Mus musculus: one gene and its partners. The protein of the gene in region 3 purifies or fractionates together with the protein of the main gene of each other region. This does not show direct contact. Links are inferred from orthologs where the notes say so. Each region holds a gene or a part of one and is shown on either strand. Other genes may lie near its edges. The genes, in order: Tns2, Tns3 and Csk.

Evidence for each region.
Region 1: the proteins of Csk (region 3) and Tns2 purify together in Homo sapiens (affinity purification with mass spectrometry; 6 studies listed by BioGRID and IntAct, with this or other methods). This does not show direct contact. The link is inferred for Mus musculus from reciprocal best matches to the Homo sapiens genes CSK and TNS2.
Region 2: the proteins of Csk (region 3) and Tns3 purify together in Homo sapiens (affinity purification with mass spectrometry; 4 studies listed by BioGRID and IntAct, with this or other methods). This does not show direct contact. The link is inferred for Mus musculus from reciprocal best matches to the Homo sapiens genes CSK and TNS3.

What each region holds. Positions count from the first base shown.
Region 1 is NC_000081.6:102,101,000-102,107,253, forward strand, and holds the start of Tns2 (tensin-2), read left to right. Parts: upstream 1-1,934; 5' UTR 1,935-2,087; coding exon 2,088-2,162; intron 2,163-3,530; coding exon 3,531-3,639; intron 3,640-4,339; coding exon 4,340-4,377; intron 4,378-5,244; coding exon 5,245-5,283; intron 5,284-5,591; coding exon 5,592-5,630; intron 5,631-5,789; coding exon 5,790-5,839; intron 5,840-6,015; coding exon 6,016-6,187; intron 6,188-6,254. UniProt on the Homo sapiens protein: Tyrosine-protein phosphatase which regulates cell motility, proliferation and muscle-response to insulin. Phosphatase activity is mediated by binding to phosphatidylinositol-3,4,5-triphosphate (PtdIns(3,4,5)P3) via the SH2 domain.
Region 2 is NC_000077.6:8,446,892-8,452,700, forward strand, and holds part of Tns3 (tensin-3), read right to left. Parts: intron 4,605-5,809; coding exon 3,964-4,604; intron 3,266-3,963; coding exon 3,179-3,265; intron 1,931-3,178; coding exon 1,799-1,930; intron 1-1,798. UniProt on the Homo sapiens protein: May act as a protein phosphatase and/or a lipid phosphatase. Involved in the dissociation of the integrin-tensin-actin complex. EGF activates TNS4 and down-regulates TNS3 which results in capping the tail of ITGB1.
Region 3 is NC_000075.6:57,641,379-57,647,663, forward strand, and holds the start of Csk (tyrosine-protein kinase CSK), read right to left. Parts: upstream 4,276-6,285; 5' UTR 3,617-4,275; intron 2,692-3,616; exon of another isoform or gene 2,668-2,691; intron 1-2,667. UniProt on the Homo sapiens protein: Non-receptor tyrosine-protein kinase that plays an important role in the regulation of cell growth, differentiation, migration and immune response.

The DNA of each region.
Region 1 (6,254 bases), on a different chromosome or scaffold from region 3:
TTTCTCCTTTTAACCCTTTTCTACTTCTGCCCTACCTAGATACCCCCTAGGTCCCTCTAGACACACCCTTGAATCCTACCTCCCTTCCCCTCCCTCCTTTACTGGGCCTCACTCCTCTGTGGCCCGGCTCCGGGCCTCTCATCCAACCACAGCTATTTCCAGGAAGGAGGGGTGTGTGGGTGGGTGGAGGGGTTTCTCCAAACAAACCCAAGGCTTCAGAGTGAGAGGGGGCCCGGCTGGGGAGAATCAAAAGAGCTCTGGAATATTCCAGGCAGGAGGTGGGAGGTGAGGATCTGGTAATGCTGCCATTCCTCAGGCACTGTTTGCCCTCAGCTACTTTCAGAAATACTCCACACTCCCTGCGGTGGGGACGCGCAGAGCCAACTAGACACTTAACTTTCTAGATCTAGGTGGGCAGTGTAAGTTCAGTGAGGGCAGAGGCTGTTTGGGAACCTGTTCCAGAGGAAAAGACTTTCAGTCCCACCAGAGGTTGCAGATGTAGGCCCATGTACCATAGGAGCAGAGGGGAAAAAAAATTGATCAGGGGAGGCGCTGCAGTGATCCATCTTCCCCAGCAGGGCTGGGTGCGGAATCAGGACAGCCCCGGTTGCCCACCTGGCCATCGGCCTGGAATGTCCTGGGACACAGCCAGAACTCAGGTGGGGATTGCAGAGCCAGGGGCCCTCTCCAGTTACAGCACGGTGCCCCACCCCTTGCCACTCACAGGGCCTTCTAGCCAGGGTACACTGGCAACGATGGGCTTCCTAGAGAACAGGCATGCAGCGGGAAGAGGCCTCAGACTCTTCAGTCTGACAGGTCTTCTGAAGGATCCCTGGGGAGGACTAGAGCAGCCCTTCATCTGTCAGATGGGCGTGAGGCAGAAAGAGGAGAGTCCTGTGGGACCCTGCAAGAGGTGCCAGAACTGGAGGAGTTGCACTGGGACATTCAGTAAATACCATGCAAATGAGGGTGACACGGTGTACATTCTTTCAAATGACAGCTAGCTACAGCATTCCAAAGGCTGCTGTCTAGAGCTTGGGCTGGGAACCCCCAGGCTGTTGACCCTTGTTGTAGGAAGGTTGTTCCATCCTTTCCAAGGGCCCCATACACCTCCTTCCCTTGACTCCTGGGACAGGAAGTTGGCCCTATTCCCAGGAGGGAAGCAGGAGGCCCTAGAGAGGGTGGAGTATGTGTTGGGAGGGGGCCTCCTGTCCAGTCCTCGGGTCCAGTGACAGCCACAGAGGAAGGAGAGACAGGCCAGAAGAGCCATGAAGGTAGCGCTCAGATTCTGGTGGGCGGGTGGGGTCCCCAGTAGAACCTCAGGTGCAGGATCTGGGAGCTAAGCCAGGAACTGTGGGTTGTATCTGGAGAGGAGCAGCTGGGGTGTTCAGGAGGAACCTCCAGTGCTTTGGGTTACAGCAAGATGGACCATTCCTGTAAGCCCTTAGCCCTTCCCGCTGGAACTTGGCGTTGAGGAGGGTACTATAAGATCCTTCTCCCGTCTGACAGGGAAGTTAGCCCTCATCCCTAACTTTCTTTCACCCTGAGGATGTGGAGTGCTGGGCTGTCAGGGGTACTGGTTCCCAGCAACACTCCCTTCCCACAGGAAATCCCAAGGGAGCATGAGGGTTCAGGCTAGAGACTGGCCGGGGACACAGTGTTCTCCACTGGCCCTTGAGCCCTGCCCTGAGACCTGAATTCCCACCCTGTGCCACTGGCTGATTCCAGGGCTGGATCTCAGGACTGCAGACCCCCTGCACACAGTGGCCCACTGGGTGGGAGGCAGCTCCAGAGATGGGGAGAGCCAGAGATCTTAGGCTGACACTCCCAGCAGGGTAGATCCTGGGAATCTGATCTCCTGGCCTCCCCCACATCCTCCCCCACCCCACTTCCTGGAGCAGCGACCTGCCCCCTTCCCGCCTGCACTTCCCTCCACTTCCAGGGCCAGGCTTCTCCACACACCAGCCAGACAGCCTCCCCTCCACCCAAGGGAAGCGGCTGCCTCGGCAGGCTGCTTCCAGGAAGCCCCAGGCCAGGCCCCAGCATTGTTCAGGCCCTGCAGCCAAGAGTCCAGCCAGCCAGACACCATGAAGTCCAGCGGCCCTGTGGAAAGGTTGCTCAGAGCCCTGGGGAGGAGGGACAGCAGCCGGGCCACCAGCAGGGTAGGAGTGCCCACCAGCTGGGCAAAGGTGGGGCAGGGTGGAGGTGCGGACAAGGCGGGAGGGCCAGGATTCAGGCCAGACCAGACCCTCTTCCTAGTTTCAGCCTCTTCTCCTGGCTGGCTCAGCATCCCCCTCCTCTTTCTTTCGCCTGACCCCCTGAGGTGGCTAGGGTAGGGTAGCAGTGTGATTCTAGCATCTGTTTTGACTTCTCTGTGTATTTCCTGGCTTGAGCCTGGATAGGCCCCGAGGGTTCAGCTAAGAGCTCAAGCCCTGACCTCCGGGGGAAGCTTGAGGGAAAAGGTATGGGAAGAAGGCAATGAGGGAAGGGAGGGTGCCTTCTACTGACGTCATCTGCACACGACGTCATCATCCACAAGTGCGTCCAAGTGTCCTGGTGGGTCTCGCCCCCAGTCGTTAAGGGACCAACGCTGCTCCCATGTTATTCTCCTCTTCACACTACGGTGGGCAGATCCAGGGAGAGGAGGGGACAGCGGGAGCTTGAACACACAGCGGTGAAGAATGTGCAGTGGAGTGGTGGGAGGAGTGAGGGAGATTGTCCACAGACTCTAGATAGGAGGGATGAACTGGGGTGGGAGGGGTCAGAACTGCAGTGAAAACTTGCAGTGAGTAGGGACTAAGGGGGACCTGGACAACTGGTGGCAGCCCAGCCAGCCACTGACCTCACTACCTCTGGGTGGGGAGGGGGCATCCGGAGAACCTGGCCACCCCTGTCATAACATGCAGAGGCAGCGAGGCAGCTGCCTGTGTGTCCCCACTGCTATTCCTCCTTCCGAGCGAACGTCTTAGACAATTGCTGCCTGCCGCCTCAGTGCACAGAGAGTAAACATGTTGTTCTGACCGTGGGGGAGGGGGTCATATTAGCTGCCTGGAGCTTGGGGACACTGAGAGCCAGGGGCTCAGAACTGGCTGCAGTCAGTCTGGGTATTATGTGATAGTGCTTGTGTGTCCTGGCCGTCAGCTCACAGTATACAAGCCTCTTGTGGGGAGGGCAAGATGGGAGGAGAGTCAGACCCCCCACTCTGCCAAGATTCAGAAAGCCCTCACATTGGAAGTGGGGGTGTGTGTGACAAGGACATCACATAGCTCCGCCACGTGAGAAGTCCTGAGTGAACCCTTAGGGAGGAGTTGACCCAGCCAAGGTGACGCAAGGGGTCACATTCCAAGCCCTGTAGAGGACAGGCCTCATGACTACCCTGAAACAGCTGTGGCCAAGTGTGCCTTAGAGTTCACAGACTTTTGGCTGGAAGAGAGGGAAGCAGCATCGCTCTAAGGAAAGGTCCCTGCCCAGCCTTGGAGATGAGCCCACTAGGAACACATACCCCTATTTGTCTGTCATCCCACCCGCAGCCGAGGAAAGCAGAACCACACAGCTTCCGGGAGAAGGTTTTCCGGAAGAAAACTCCAGTGTGTGCAGTGTGTAAGGTGACCATCGATGGGACCGGTGTCTCCTGCCGAGGTGAGGTGGTGCTCTTGGTGCCTGAGCCCTCCAGGCAGCACTTCTGTGTGGCTCAGGCTCTAGAGACAGGCAAATTCAGAAACAAATGCCCTCACTCTTCTTGACACCCACCTTGCCACAGCCCAGGAGATTTGTGACTCTACCACCTTCCCATCCTTACCTGTGACTAGGGTCTTCCCTTCCTCTTGCTCCTCCTCCTCTTCTTCTTCCTCCTCCTCTTTTTCTTCTTCCTCCTCTTCTTTTTCCTCCTTTTTCCTTTTCCTCCTCCTTTTCCTCTTCTTCCTCTTCCTCTTCCTTCTCTTTTTCCTCTTCTTCCTCCTCTTTTTCCTCTTCTTCCTCCTCCTCTTTTTCCTCTTCTGCCTCCTCCTCTTTTTCCTCTTCCTCCCCTTTCTCTTCCTCCTCATCTTCCTGTTCCTCTTCTTCTTCCTCATCCTTTTCTTCTTCCTCCTCTTCTTCCTCCTACTGTTCTTCCTCCTCTTCCTCTTTCCCCTCCTCACCTCTATTCATCCTAGACCCCAACCCCCGGCCCTCTTCCCTTACTCCAGAGCAGAACCTGTTGATAACCAGCTCTGTTCTTCAACTCCTAGTAACCTAGTGTACCAGGGTCCCAGAGCTGGCTTCTAAGGCCTGTGGGGCTGGAGCACAGTTATTTTGACTATTCCCGTAAGCCTCTGCTAACCTCTACCCTTTCTCTCTCTAGTCTGCAAGGTGGCCACACACAGAAAATGTGAAGCAAAGGTGAGTATGTGGTTCTATCTAATGGGGAGATGGTGTCTTTCCCTGTCCAGACAGGCATCTTCAGCCTCACTGGCATGGGCCACCATGTCACCCTGTCCCCTGTCACTCACTCCTGGACACCCCTTCCTGGGTGGCAGGGGTGTTGTGTTGGGCTCTTTAAGAAACACCCTACTCCACCCCTGGAGGGTTGGCCCAGGAGGGTGGACAGTGAGACAGCGTTTGTCTTGGTGCTGTGCCCAGGCTGCAGCTGGCGAGAGGATGAGGGGGGGTGGCTGCGGGGGGAGGAAGGGCGGGGTGGATAGAGAGGGAGCAAGATTTCAGAGACCAGGCACCCTGATGGGAGGTGCCTTCCCTCTGAGGAAAGGGTCCTCAGGATGCCTGCGTTGGTCTCATCCTGGGTAGTGAAAGCTGAGCCTGTTCAGGTATAATACCCTGTAGCTGGTACCCGCTGTCCACTGAGAACCTAAGGTAGCCCTGCATCTCTGAGGAACGTTCCTGGTGCTCCATCAGTGCAGGGGGTAGTCCCAGGGCCTCAAGCTAGCTTGGGGGAGCTCTGTGCCCATGGGTGGGGTCTCAACGGTGAAAGAGGCTAGTGTCCACCCCTGGCCATTGCCTGGCTGGCTGGCTCTATATATAACTCCTGTCCTGCCGCTGGATGAATGGGGGTCTGTGTGGGCAGGGGGCTGAGAGCCAAGAGCAACAAGCAGGGGGCCCAAGGGGTGGGAGACCGAGAGGCAGAAGCAAGGCTCCCTTAAATAGAGGAACCTCAGCTAGAGGTTGTTCATCAGGTGACAGCCCCTGCACCTTCCTACTGAGGCCTGGCACCCCATTTCACCAGCACAGCCTTTAACTCCCACCTCTTTCCAGGTGACTTCATCCTGTCAGGCCTTGCCCCCTGCGGAGCTGGTGAGTGTGTTCTAGGATGGGGCAGGGAAGGCAAGGAACCTGACTAGTATCCCCGGGGTCTGGTGGTCTCAGAGTGGGTCTCCAGGAGGTTATGTAGAAATGAGTGCTGTGGTTATTGGTCAGTTGTCCTCAACAGATGGCTGTCGGAGCCCTTTCTGGTTACTGTCTTCTAGAGCTTGTTGGGGGCTAGAGTCCTGTCCCTAGGGAATGAACACTGACATGCGCTCCCACCCCGCCCCACCAGGTCCAGACTGGTCCTTGCCCCTGCCCTAACCACTCCCATTTCCTCCCCCACATCCTCCCTCTAGCGGAGAAGCACAGCCCCGGTCCGGCGCATAGAACACCTGGTAAGGGATGCTAGGAGCCTGAGCGGGGAGGGGCGTGTGGGTAGCTCTTGGAGTAGGGACCTATATTTCCAGAAGACCACGGTTTGTAGAACTTTTGACCGGGAAGCCTAGAATCGATGCATCCGAAGTGATGTCGACATACGGTTTCTAATCCACCAGGGGTCCACCAAGTCTCTGAACCACTCAAAGCAACGCAGTACTCTACCCAGGTGAGTGAGGATGCCCGGCGATCCCACGTCACCCCAAGACAGTGCTCCCCCTCGGGACCATCCACCCTAAGGACCTAACAGGTCGCCCAGCGTTCCCCAGGGTCCTTACCATCATACTAGCCCTCTGGGGCGCCACGTTTCTCTGTTCCCTAAATCAGCTTTGTGGCCTCTCCCAGGAGCTTCAGCCTAGATCCGCTCATGGAGCGTCGCTGGGACTTGGACCTCACCTATGTAACGGAGCGGATCTTGGCCGCAGCTTTTCCTGCACGACCGGACGAGCAGCGACACCGAGGCCACTTGCGCGAGCTAGCCCATGTGCTTCAATCCAAGCACAGAGACAAGTACCTGGTGAGGAGCGGGTGGGCCAGATGCAACCAATGAGAGGGCTGGGAGATCAAAATGGGGCGAAGCTACT
Region 2 (5,809 bases), on a different chromosome or scaffold from region 3:
TAATAAAGAAATAATTTTTAAAAAAGACTTAAGCCTCATTCCCAAGATACCTCATTATTAGTGTACAAATATTTTGAAATCTGAAAATAATCAGAAACCGTCGCCATATCTGTTTGGGGCCATTTATGATGAGAGATCCTGAGCTGCATTAGGCTCCAATGATGCTGATCAACACCACACATTAGCGGCAGTACATGTTAGCATTTCCTAGGGGCAGTCAAACCTGCAGGGATTCCATGAAAGTCTGACACATAAAACAGAGGGAACAAAATATGACACTTCCTCTGTGGGAAGAGAAGGTGTGGGGCTTCCAGCCTAATGAGAAAACCCACTGAAGGTCTGGATTCTACTTGTGGAAAATGGCCCCGTGAAGATCCTGCTGCCAAGGGTGTTTTGGAACACAGAGTCTAGAATGACCACAGCTGTCTCATCTCAAATTGACTGGAGGTGGCTCAGTGACTAACTGGCTCTTCACTCATTTGGTAAACTCTTCGCTCAAATCTATCGTTGGACTGGGAAATACAAATGTCAAACCCAGGCCTAGGTATACACACAGAGTCGAGACTGTATTTCAGCCAGTGGAGACCACCATGCTGGGTTTTCTGACATCTGCTATTCACATAGCCTCTATTTTGTTCGTTTATTCTCAGACTTAGTCTGAAGGCTGCCCAAGGAAGGATACATTCCCAGACATTAGAAGTCTTTTCCTGATATGTCACTAACTGATGTTCCTAAGTCAGACCTGGTAGTCCTCAGCAGCCAGGTCTGAGTGAGTGCTTCATGATAAAGGCCATACGTCCCCGCAGTAAGGTTCTGTTGAGCTTCTTAGGCGGGAATCCTAGACGTTCTATGTGATGTCACTTACTCTCCCACTCCCTCACAGAAGCCCTGTCAGCACCCCCAGGTTTGGGAGCTGTGCTCTGCCTGAGTCCCAGGTGCCTCCCAACCACACTTCCTAGCCTTGCAAGGCAAGCACATTCCTGAAGCAGGTCAGCCACCTGTGCCTGAGGCTGGCCCACTTGCAACCACATCTTACAACCTCAGTACACCGTGTACCATGTTTGCTCCAGGAAGCTTTCAGACAGATTTCACACAAGAGTTAGGATGGCTCATCTCAGACCCAGGCATGGGATGGGACAGACAGGTACCACAGCCATGCTGATTCGGATTCCTCTCTCTAGCTAAGGCAACGTCTCTCACTGATCCATGCGGCAGAGGCTCAGCTCCCAGAGAGATGCTCTGGTGATCAGTGAGGATGTAAGGAGGGCTGGAGTAGGGTCACTTAGTGCATGCCCTTAGGAGGGTGACGAAACCTCGCTCTCTCCCCAGCCTCTCCCCTTCACGTTGCAGGCAGAGGGAGAACACATACTCCCTCATGCACAAGCAGCCTATGATGATTTCTCTATCACAGGCCTGGTACCAGAGCCAACCAAATGAGCTGAACCTCTTAAAACCATGACCCACAGTGAACATTATCTCCTGATAAGATAAATACGAAGGGCATCCTGCACAGGGCGACTACTGCACACTCCTCGTGACCTGAGGTGTTCAGTGAGTCTTAAAATTTTTGATTCATAAGATAGTACATATTCTATGTACTATATTAGTGTTCACATTGCAAGTTTAAAAGTATGGAAAAGACGGGTTAAAAAAAATGAAGATAAAAGGTATACATGGATGGACAGCTACTTAAGGAAGTAACCTTAGAAAGCAAACACTAAATAAAGAGAAGCAGTGGGAACAGTTGCCGATATCAGCCACTGTAAACAACAGACAACCCCCGTCTATGGACGCTTACCTTTCTTGTTGAGGTGCAGGACAGACGGAGGAGGTGTGGCCACCTTCATGGCCAGGCCGTAGGCCCCTCGGAAGGAGTGACTGTCCCTCACGATGAATGACCCGGGGGCTTTGTCCTTCAGCATGGCAATGGCTAGGGGAAGGAAAGGCATGGATGACTGCAGGGGACAAAGGTCACTGCCCACCCAGAGCCTGGGATGGCTCCACCTCTGAAAAATCACACTCAAGGCTGAGCTGACGCTCAATGCATCAATGACAATTGAAGAGTAACGTTCTCTTGATTGGCAATGGTTCCAGGGATGGCTCGGCTGCCTGAAAGCAGACTGTTACAAAGCACCGACATCCTCTCTCTTCTGCACATGGGCACTTCCCCATCTCTTTTCAGCAGTAAGAAACTGGTGCTGATATGCGTGGGGAGCGTCCCACGCCCAGGACTCCTTTTCTCTATACATCCAGAGCAGCCCCTTCTCCCAGCTGCTCCTACAGCCTGGGCCAGTTGGGACCCTGCTTGGCAGATGAACGTGGAGTAAGGAAAATGCCATCTTTTCACCTGTGCAGCTAAGCAGGGAGACCAGAGACAGAAGAATTCGGGACACTGGCCACATAAGGTTGCTCTGTGTGTTTTGGGGGAGGCTTGGACTCACTAAGCAGCTTTCACAAAGGTGCCTGAGGGAAATGAAAGGCTTTTCAGGCCGTGGTTGTGTTCATCCCCCACCTCACCCCACCCATGCTTCTCTTCCATTTAAAATGACAACAGCTTCCTTGAGCTCCTGGGAAGAACTAGAGTCTCACAGTTCCTGTTAGCTTTAAAATCTAATGGCAGAACCTCAGGGAGAAAACTAGCCTTTCTGAGAGATGATGCTATGAATGAACGGCCCCATGAGCTCCTTAGGGACTTCAACCAGGTGGCCAATGTGGGGTAGATTCATGCAGGCTACAGGAAGCTCCTAATGGGGAGAGCTCCAAACACTCCATGCCCTTTCATGTCTGCAGCCACCAAGCCTGAGATTCTCCTAGAGCATTAGCTCTCCATGGCCTCTTTCTGCAGTACTCTGGAACCTAGGACCTCAAGGAGTCCTTAGTAGAGACCTGAGCAGTGTCTCATCCTCAAAGCAGTGGTGGGCTGCCAGGCTAGTGAAACTGCCAGTGTTCACAGGCCACACGCTGGGATGGATGCTTGTGGCTTGAAACCACTTCTGGCCCAAACCCTCAGGGGGACTGAGTTTTCCCTGTAAGACTGTGAAGGTTGTAGAATGTTCTCCAGAGTCCTATGAAAAAGGTGTATTTATCTGCGCCACAGCTAATACAAGGAGATCCCTGACAGAAGGACCCAGAGACCAAATACGACCAACATTGTAAGAGGTCCCTTAACCCCGCCTACCTTGTTCTCTTGAGATGTCTGCCTTGTACCAGAACTTCGAAGTGTCTTGAACAAATTTCACAATCACGAGTTTATCATTTGGGCTATCTGTGAAGCAGAATTTTAATACAGAATATTTGGGTTTTTTGTTTAGTTTTTTACAAATTAATACATCTCAATTGGGTTTAATTACAATAGGGAACTGATAGCAGCATTCACAGGAGTAGGAAATGGGACATTTCTCTATTCAGCATTGAGAGTAATACAGAATATCTATATTGCTGCCTCTTTTACAATGGTGATGCGAGTCCAAATCCATGCCTGGGTTTGAGGGATGCACAGAAAGGTCCTAAGTGGGGAGGAGACGTGGTTCAAAGGACCAACTGGAAGGAAGAGCCAGTACCGCGGAGTACAGTACAAGACAAACGTGCTTCCAATACGGGACAGGAGGACAGGGCAGCGAGGCTGTGTCAAACACTTGAAACAGCTTATAACTCAATTCTGGATGAATTATGTAATTGGGAAGAGAGAAAGAAACTTTAAAGCATCTCTATCCTTTTAGTCAAAGTGAATACAGAACTACTGCAGCATCTGCACTGTCTAACGCTGGTCTGAGTCTGCAGGAGATTAAGGAGGAAGCTGACCGGAAAAACTGGGTCTATCTGGCTTTAGGCAAACTGGGTGGGAGAGAGCCAAGAGAGGATCTGACCATTTCCTGCAGGACATCTGACTTAGCACTGAAGACTGGCTCACACGGGAAGCCCCAGAGCCCTCCTCTCCTGAGGGAGTGGCAGATGCAGACATACCTGGCAAAGGTGAGGCCACTTCTGAAGGCTTGCAGAAGTCTGGAAGGACATTCGGGAAGGGGATGCTCATGGTGCTGCCACTGTGGGGGCTGGAGAAGCCACTGGATGATGGGGAGACTGAGCCCAAAGAACGATCACCCTCCGACGCTCTCTTCTTCTCCGGGAGGGGTGGCTGCCCAGGCAGGCTCACGTTCTGGTTCTGCAGGCCTGGACTGTGGTGGCTGCTGGCTCCGGGTGACACCGTGAGAAAGTTGTGGGGCAGAAAGCCGTTGTCAGCAGCCCCTGTCGTCAGCAGAGGGGTTCCAGGAGCTGGTGATGTTCCATGGGAATTGACCAGCAAGGTGCCAGCGTCCTCACCAGGTGGAAGAACACTTGTTGCTGTGGTTACTGTGTTGAAACCTAAGAAGGTTTGGCTGCCCGCAGGAGGCAAAGCACCCTGAGGCTCTGACATGGACAGCTCATGGCTGTGGAAAGAGGCCTGGAGCTCTGAGGACTGGAAGCAGGGCAGCCCTGGTGAGTCCTTACCAGAGCTACAGAACTCATGAGTGCCGAGGGGACTTTCAGAAGGGTGGCTGTTCCCCAGTAGGGTGAGGGTGGACTTCGGGCTGCTCTCTACCCACTGGCGTTCTGCAGAAGGCGGGCTGTTCGAAAGGCAAAAATAGCCATAGGGAAATGTAAGGGACATACAGATGCCTCAAACCCAGCAACTGTTACAAGATACAGATGAGACAGGATTGGGGAAGTAGGTACTGGGGCTTGCTGCAGGACAGCATAGAAGCGCAGTATCCCCCCATCCCTTGCATGTGTTTCAGTGACCCAGGTTGACCTCAGTCTAAAACTATTCAGTAGAACACTGTAGAAATAAACAACTGCTAAGTCTTAAATGTTACTGTGAGTGGGATGATGAGCAGTGTGCTGTCCTACTCATGGCCAGGATATGCATCACTCCTTATTCAGCGTATCCATGTGGTATATGCTGTCTGCCTCTAGATGACTGGCCGACATGGTATGTAACTCTCCGGTTACTTAGAAACGGTCCCAAAGGGGCTGGTGAGATGGCTTAGTGGTTAAGCACTGAACACTCTGCAGAGCAGCGGGGTTTGACTCCCAGTATCCACCCAGTGACTTACAACCACCTTCTAGAAGAACTGCTGCCCTCTCCTGGCCTCCACAAGGACCAGGCTTACATGTGGCAAACAGACTACAGACAGGCAAAACATTCATACAATAAAAACAAATAAAGATATAAATCTAACAACAAGTTCCCCAAAGAGCAAGTATGGGGACAGGGACACTGGCTGACTGGCTATGGAATCTGTAATGTATTTATTTCCTTTGAATAATAAATGGTCAGAGTTATCATAGGGGAAAACATTATATATAGGGTTTGTTCCTGTCTAGGATCGTAGGCATCAACTAATGACCCTATCTCCTACAGACCGGGGGACAACTTGACTGGGAATTACCACATTCAGGAACCTAGAAAACCCATTAAAAATACAGTTCTTACAACATATATGTATTTAAATTGACACACTAGCTATAGATTCTACATGTGATGTCAAGTCCTTAGAAAATCCCCTTTATTATTTTTTTAACTTTTAATTCTTCAATAATTTGTTTGCTTTATTTATGTTTGTTTGCTTACTGGCTGACTGGTTGGTTGGCTGGATTTTCAAGACAGGGTCTCTCTGTGTAACAGCCCTGACTGCCTCAGAACTCACTTTGAATAACAGGCTGGCTTTGAACTCAGAGAGACTGGCCTGCCTCCTCCTCCCTCCCAAGTGCTGGGATTAAAGGCATGCATACCTCACCCAGCTGGTCCCCTTTATTTCAATGGGAAGGG
Region 3 (6,285 bases):
AAGGTAGAGAGACTTGGGCACTGAAATGGCCACATCAGTACTCCTTGCCTACGTTAGTTCTGGGCCACCCTAGTCAATTAGGGCTACAGTCTTTTGGACCCAGGGTGTGCCAAGCAGAGATTGGTTTCTTCCTACTGCCCATGTCACAAAGTGACACCTCCAGGTTAGATCTGCAAAGGAGGACACTAACTCAGAAGCCTAGTTTCTAACTCTCAGGTGCAAGGCTCCAAAATCTAATCTTTCCCTTCCCTGGTCACTGGAGAAAGCTGAGGCTGGCCTGACTAACTCTGGCTCAGCCTAAGGAAACCTCTATTTCCCACTGGAACGTGAAGCCTATGACAGCCATGCAGGATCCGGGAAGCAGGAGTACTCTTCATGATGGGTACGGTGGTATAAGCATGCCTGTAATCTCAATGCTCTGGAGACTGAAGCAGGAGGATCTCGGGTTCAAGGCCCTGTAGTGATAACCGGTGTGTGTATGTGTGTGTGTGTGTGTTTTGGGAAGCAACAGTGGTAGGTAGCCATTCTCAACTCCAAGGCTGTGAAGGGGAATGGGTGGGGTTAGGCCTTGGACAGCAATTAGCATCCTATCTTCTCAAGGCCAGTCCCATGCCCTGAGGCAGCCTATCACTTAGTGATGGGAAGGGAGTGGGGCACAGCATAGACAGACACAGCAGCCTAGAATACAGGGCCAGAGGTTTTCAGAGTGCTTGGGACACCTTACCAAAGATAGGTGAGAGGGCAGTCATTCTAGGGTCCGAGGCTCAGGGATGTTTCTCGAATTCTAAGGCAGCCACACCAGCCACGGTCCCATGCTCTCTCCAGTCTTTTAGTAGGTTAGTTAGTTCAGTGTCTTCTGAGGTATACAGCTCACTGTTCCTGTTAGCTATGCTCAGGGAACCGTGGTGTGGCTGGGCCTGGGACCCACATACTTAGCTGCTAAACTGCCTGCTCTCTCCTAGCTGCTTGTAGGGTGTGTAGTAACAGCCCCCACCACTGACAGATGGAAGCACGGCACACGCGGGAGAGGGTTTGGTGACGAAGCAGTAGCAGGGCTCCTGGAAATACCCTGAAGCTCCTTCGAGGCGGTTACCATGACAGGTAGCTCAAGAAACACCCAGAGACACAGTAGTAAGTGGGAAAAGAGTCGAGGCTTGCACATTTACATGCTAACAACAGCAAGGGAAGGAAACCAGGAAAACAGGGCTCTAGTGTGCCGAGTCCCTGCCTGGCAATTACTGGGCCCTCTTGTTTTATTTTCTAAAATTTCTGGGGTTTGTTTTCTTCCTTTCTTCTCTTTTAAAGATGGGATCTCAGTCTGGAGCCCATGCTAGCCTTGAACTTGGAATCCCTCCTGCCTCGGTCTCCCTAGCGCTGGGATTACAGGTGCATGCCAGCCCACGCGGCCCTCACTGCTTTGTAAAGAATAAAATCAACAAGCATAGAGTTTTCATGTGAAGTCAGACTAACTTTCCCAGGTCCTGCCTGCCCCTCAGCTCTGGCCCAGCTACTCAGGACTTTTCTGCTACAGAGCATCCATGCCCGTCTGGGACACTCTCTCAGACATCTCTCTGCCTTCTTTCCCACACTCAACATCTGTGCTTTGAGGGCTACATGTCAAGGCTTTGACATTCTTCAAAAGATGGACCTGGGTGGTCCTACCATTCCAGTGGGATCCAGAAGGATTATGGGGGAGGTTGAGTCACACTATGGGCCTCTGGCTTCCATCCCTACCTCTACTAGCGTGAAGGAAGCTGGACTCTGCTCTCTATCAACACTTGCTGTGGGCCTCCCCATGAGGACTGCCCTCTGAAGAGCAGTGCCTTGTAGTGAGGAAGGCACCTGCTTTCCTGGTCTTTTACAGAAAGACCAGCCCTTGCTGATCGGGGAAAATTAGTTCACCAAACAAAACTCAGAGCCTCGAACATGTGCTAGCCTAAATGAGGCTGCTTTCTAAAAGATCTCTGGACTCTGGCCACACCCTTGCAGCCAAGTTAGTAAGAAGCACCCAGCCATGTCAGGCCTAGCCACAACCCCTAAGGCTAGACAGAAGAAGTTCGGGTCGGCATGAGGCGATGTGACTGTATACCCCACCCCCACCCCAGTGCTTCTTAGAGCAATGGGTAAAACCTTAACCAAGGGCAAGGGCCTGAGCAAGACAAAACAGCCTGTGGCTCACGGGGGCCTAGGCAGAGCTCAGCATCCTGAGGGGTCTAGAAGATCCTGCTGCTCTGCCAACCTTAGTGCCTCTGGCCTGATCCTGCTGTGGCCATTACCGAGACACTACGACATCTAGGGTCCAGGGAGACAGAAACAAGCCCCAAGTGTCAACATTCCCCCATACTGACACTTTCAGTCCAAGGTTGTCTGCCACTCTGCCTACGCTGACCCCATTCAGGTTCTGACTGAGCCATCTGGTAAATGTGGGAAAGGCAGGGTCAGAACTAACTACCAGGCTGTTTCAAAGCTGCCCAGAACCAGGCTTCTGCACACCTAACCACACCACACCACACAGATGGCCCACACGATTAGGACCCAGTCCCACGCACTGAGAGGAAGTCTTATAAGCAATGCATACGATATCTCGGCCTGTAAGAAGACAGCACTGAGGCCGGAAGCCCTTTCCCTCTTCTCTAGCCCTCTGCAAGGGAACACGTGCTCGCTCACCCCACAAGGTCCCTCTTGGGTCAGGCTGGAGACTGCCAGTGTCCCTGGTAGTTACAGAGTGGGTCTGGTTCCCCTCCACCTCCAGCCATCCATCATTGCAGAAGTGGGAATGAGAGACAGCTAGCCTCCCTCCATCAGGAGCCTGGAATATGACCTGCCCCTTGGGCCTCAGTTCCCTGCTATACAAAATGATCAAAAAAAAAAAAAAAAAACTCCTACTTAAGCTCCAAAGATCCAGTGACTGGACACACCCCTTCCAAATAACTGGTCTGGGTCCTGAGAAGCCTGGGAAAATAGACTGATGAGGATGCTGGGGGTGGGGGTGGGGGGAACGGGGTACAGTACCAATGCCCAGTGTCACCTCTACGCAGACTGGAAGCCCTGCCCAGTTTCTCCACCCAAGGGTCAGAGGTCCCTTGCTTTAAGCCTGATCCTCTGGCAGGTCAAGGGTGACAGGCTTAGTTCAAGGACCCGGCCTTCTATCAGGCACAAAGGGAGGTGGCATGGCCCTGGGCTGCTTGGAGCCAATAGAACCTCTGTGCAACGACTGAAGTAGAGTTCAGAACCAGACAAGCCAGGATACCTTCAGGGAAGCCCTGAACGGGAAAGGGCAAACGCCCGGGAGTCCGGCCCATACCACTTCTCTTCCTCCGGGGTCCAGCCACTTCCCACTCTGCTCTCCTCACGGGAGTTGGGGGGTGGGAAGGTAGGACTCTGCAGACCTAAGCCAATTCTCTCGTGGTGCTGGGTAGTACTACCTCCCTTGTGGCTCATTCCCAGTAGTGTTCTGACAGTGATTCCCGGGAGAATTCGAACCCGTTTGGGAGGTGGGGGGTTGGGGGGATGGGTGTGGGCGCGGCGGTGGTGGCTACAGAGGCGGGACGAGCGACCTCCTCCCTTCTAGGGGGCATTAGGACACCCACCTCCTTTGGGGCTGCCCAGCACTCACCTCTCTGGGGGCACTGCGGTCCAGGCCTCCTCACCGAGGGCGGCATCAGTGGCCTGCAGGACAGTCCATGCGGCCAAGGGGGAGGGGAGGGGCACAGGGGTCCCCAGGGGGTGCGGTACAAAGAGGTGTATGGATGCGAAAAGAGAGGGAAGGGGAGCCAGACAGGCAGGGGGACTGCCGCGCAGCCCCAGGCGGGGAGGGAAGAAAGGCGGGGGAAGGGGGCGGGAGGGAGTCCGGGGGGGAGGAAACAATGTAGCCGGCGCGGCCCCGGCAGAGTTCCGCTTCCGAACGCGGCCACGGAGGTTCGGTTTGGGGACGTCGCGCCGCCGCCGGGGGGCCGCCCCGGGCGTTCGATCGCCGCTCGCAGGGCTTGCCTAAGCCCCACACCCCGGAGGCTGGGCGGCCAGAGGCTGGCCAGGCGGGAGGGACGGCTGGCCCGGGGACGGCCCCGACGGCGGCGCGGCCCGGGTTGGCCCTGCTCGGACCCCACCCCGGTGGGATTCCCCGGGGCAGGGCGCAGGGTGGCGCGGAAGCGCAAGGAAGGCAGCAGGCTCAGCGGCGGCGGCCAACCTCAGCTCGCCCGGGCTCCGATGGGAGGAAGCTCGCAGGCCTGGTGAGAGGAAGCGCGGCCCGGATCCTCCGCCCGCTGCGGCGCGCCTGCGCGAGGGGGCCTGCCGGGCGAGCAGCGGGGCGTGGGTCGGCGCCCTCTGCTGGACCTTGGAGGAAATGCGGGGGGTGTGTCCGCGTCTACGCCCTGCCCCCACTTGCTGGCCTTCGCGAAGGCTCCCGAAGGTCCTTTCAGAGGGCCACCAGCATGCTAGAGCCAACCTCTCAGCTTCCTCTAGGCGAAGCTTCCTTGCTAGAGTGGAGGTTAGGCCTAGACTCTTCTGGGACAGTAAGCATGCATTTACACGGCCCCTGCTCTGTAGTCTACCACCGTCTCTGCTTCCTCCTCCTCCTTCTCCTCCTCTTCCCCCCCCCCCCCCCCCCAGCGAAGTTTTCTTTCTATAGTGGAGGCTAGGCCTAGACTCTTCTGGGACAGTAAGCATGCATTTACACAGCCCCTGCTCTGTAGTCTACCACCGTCCTTCTCCTTCCTTCTCCTCCACCTCCTTTCTCCTCTCTCCTCCTCCTCTTCTTCCTTCTCTTCCTCTTCTTCCTTCTCCTCCTTTGTAGTTTTTTTGTTATCTTTTGTTTTTCTGAGACAGGGTCTCACTATGTAGCTCTGGAACTTGCTCTGTAGACCAGGCTGGCCTCGAACTCATAAAGATCTGCCTGCTTCTTCCTCCCAAGTGCTAGAATTAAAGAGTGCATTTCCGGGCGGTGGTGGCCCACGCCTTTAATCCCAGCACTCAGGAGGCAGAGGCAGGTGGATTTCTGAATTTGAGGCCAGCCTGGTCTACAAAGTGAGTTCCAGGACAGCCAGGGCTACACAGAGAAACCCTGTCTCGAAAAACAAAACAAAACATAAAACAAACAAACAAAAAGAGTGTGCATCACCACTACCCGGCCGGAGTCCACTTCTTAAAACCTCTATATCTGCCAAATTCTCATGAGGGGTTGTTGCAAAAATATTGTCACAAAGAACAAATTGATAAACAATGAAAAAAAAAAAAAAGGTACAAGGTCCACAAGAAACAGGAAAGAAGGGAACATGGGTTGATTTTCTAGATCTGGGAACACAGCAGGGAGACCTGACTTACTTCGTGTGTAGGGGAAAGCAGAAAGAGATGCGGTCAGTCCTGCAAGCTACAGGGCCAAAGAACCACAGAGCTTCTTGGAACTCTTCCGGGCTTTATTTTCAGCTGAGATGCAATAGGGAAGTTGTCACTGGCTGTGTAACAACGTCGGACCAGTTAGCTAATCTCTGTCTGTCCTTTTCCACTGTGGTTTGGTAAAGTGAGCAAGAGCGGTACCACCAACTTTGTAAGGTTTTGTGGAGAGGAAATGAGTTAATAGGTTTGAAGTGCTCGGTGCGCAAGTGGCACGTGGTGAGTCCTCAATTAAACACGGGCTGTTATTATGCACCATTGTTAATGAGGAGTCCGGGATCCTCCCGGAGCAATTTGCTCTCAGCTACAGGAGCAAGCAGTGCTCCTGTATGGGAGGGCCACAGAATGGAAGCACAGTGGCTAGAGAGAAGCCAGAAAGTCCGTTGGAGGTGCTAGGTGTAGGAGCACTTTCTAAGGACCAGGACTGAAAGAGGGTACTAGTTTAGGAGCAGGGGATGGGGGTGAGGGAGTGGGAGGGGGATCTTCAGATGGGAGAGGAGACGCTGCTGGCAAAGACTTGGAATGCAATGTAAAGTGGTACTGACTGAGGGGAAGAAAGGGGCTCTGTGAGAAGCAAGGTTGCAGATTGCAAATAACTTAAAATGTTAGAAGCAGGAGTTGGATATGCTCAACTCCCACCCCAGACGACAGGTTGGTCTTCTCACCCAGCATGCCTAGTACCAGTTTGCTTACAGGGAACTGGTTCTTTAGGGACACCTTTGGTGGAGGCACCTAGAAGATCTCAGAGTTAGGTGTGACACAGAGGGGGGGGGGGAAACAGATATTTGGGGACCGAATCTCAAGGTTAAATCTCAAGAGCTGTGTGGCTTTGAACTAGTTACCTAAGGTCTCTGAGCTGTTTCCTCTTTGGTGAGATCAGGCTGAGAGCATGCCTCT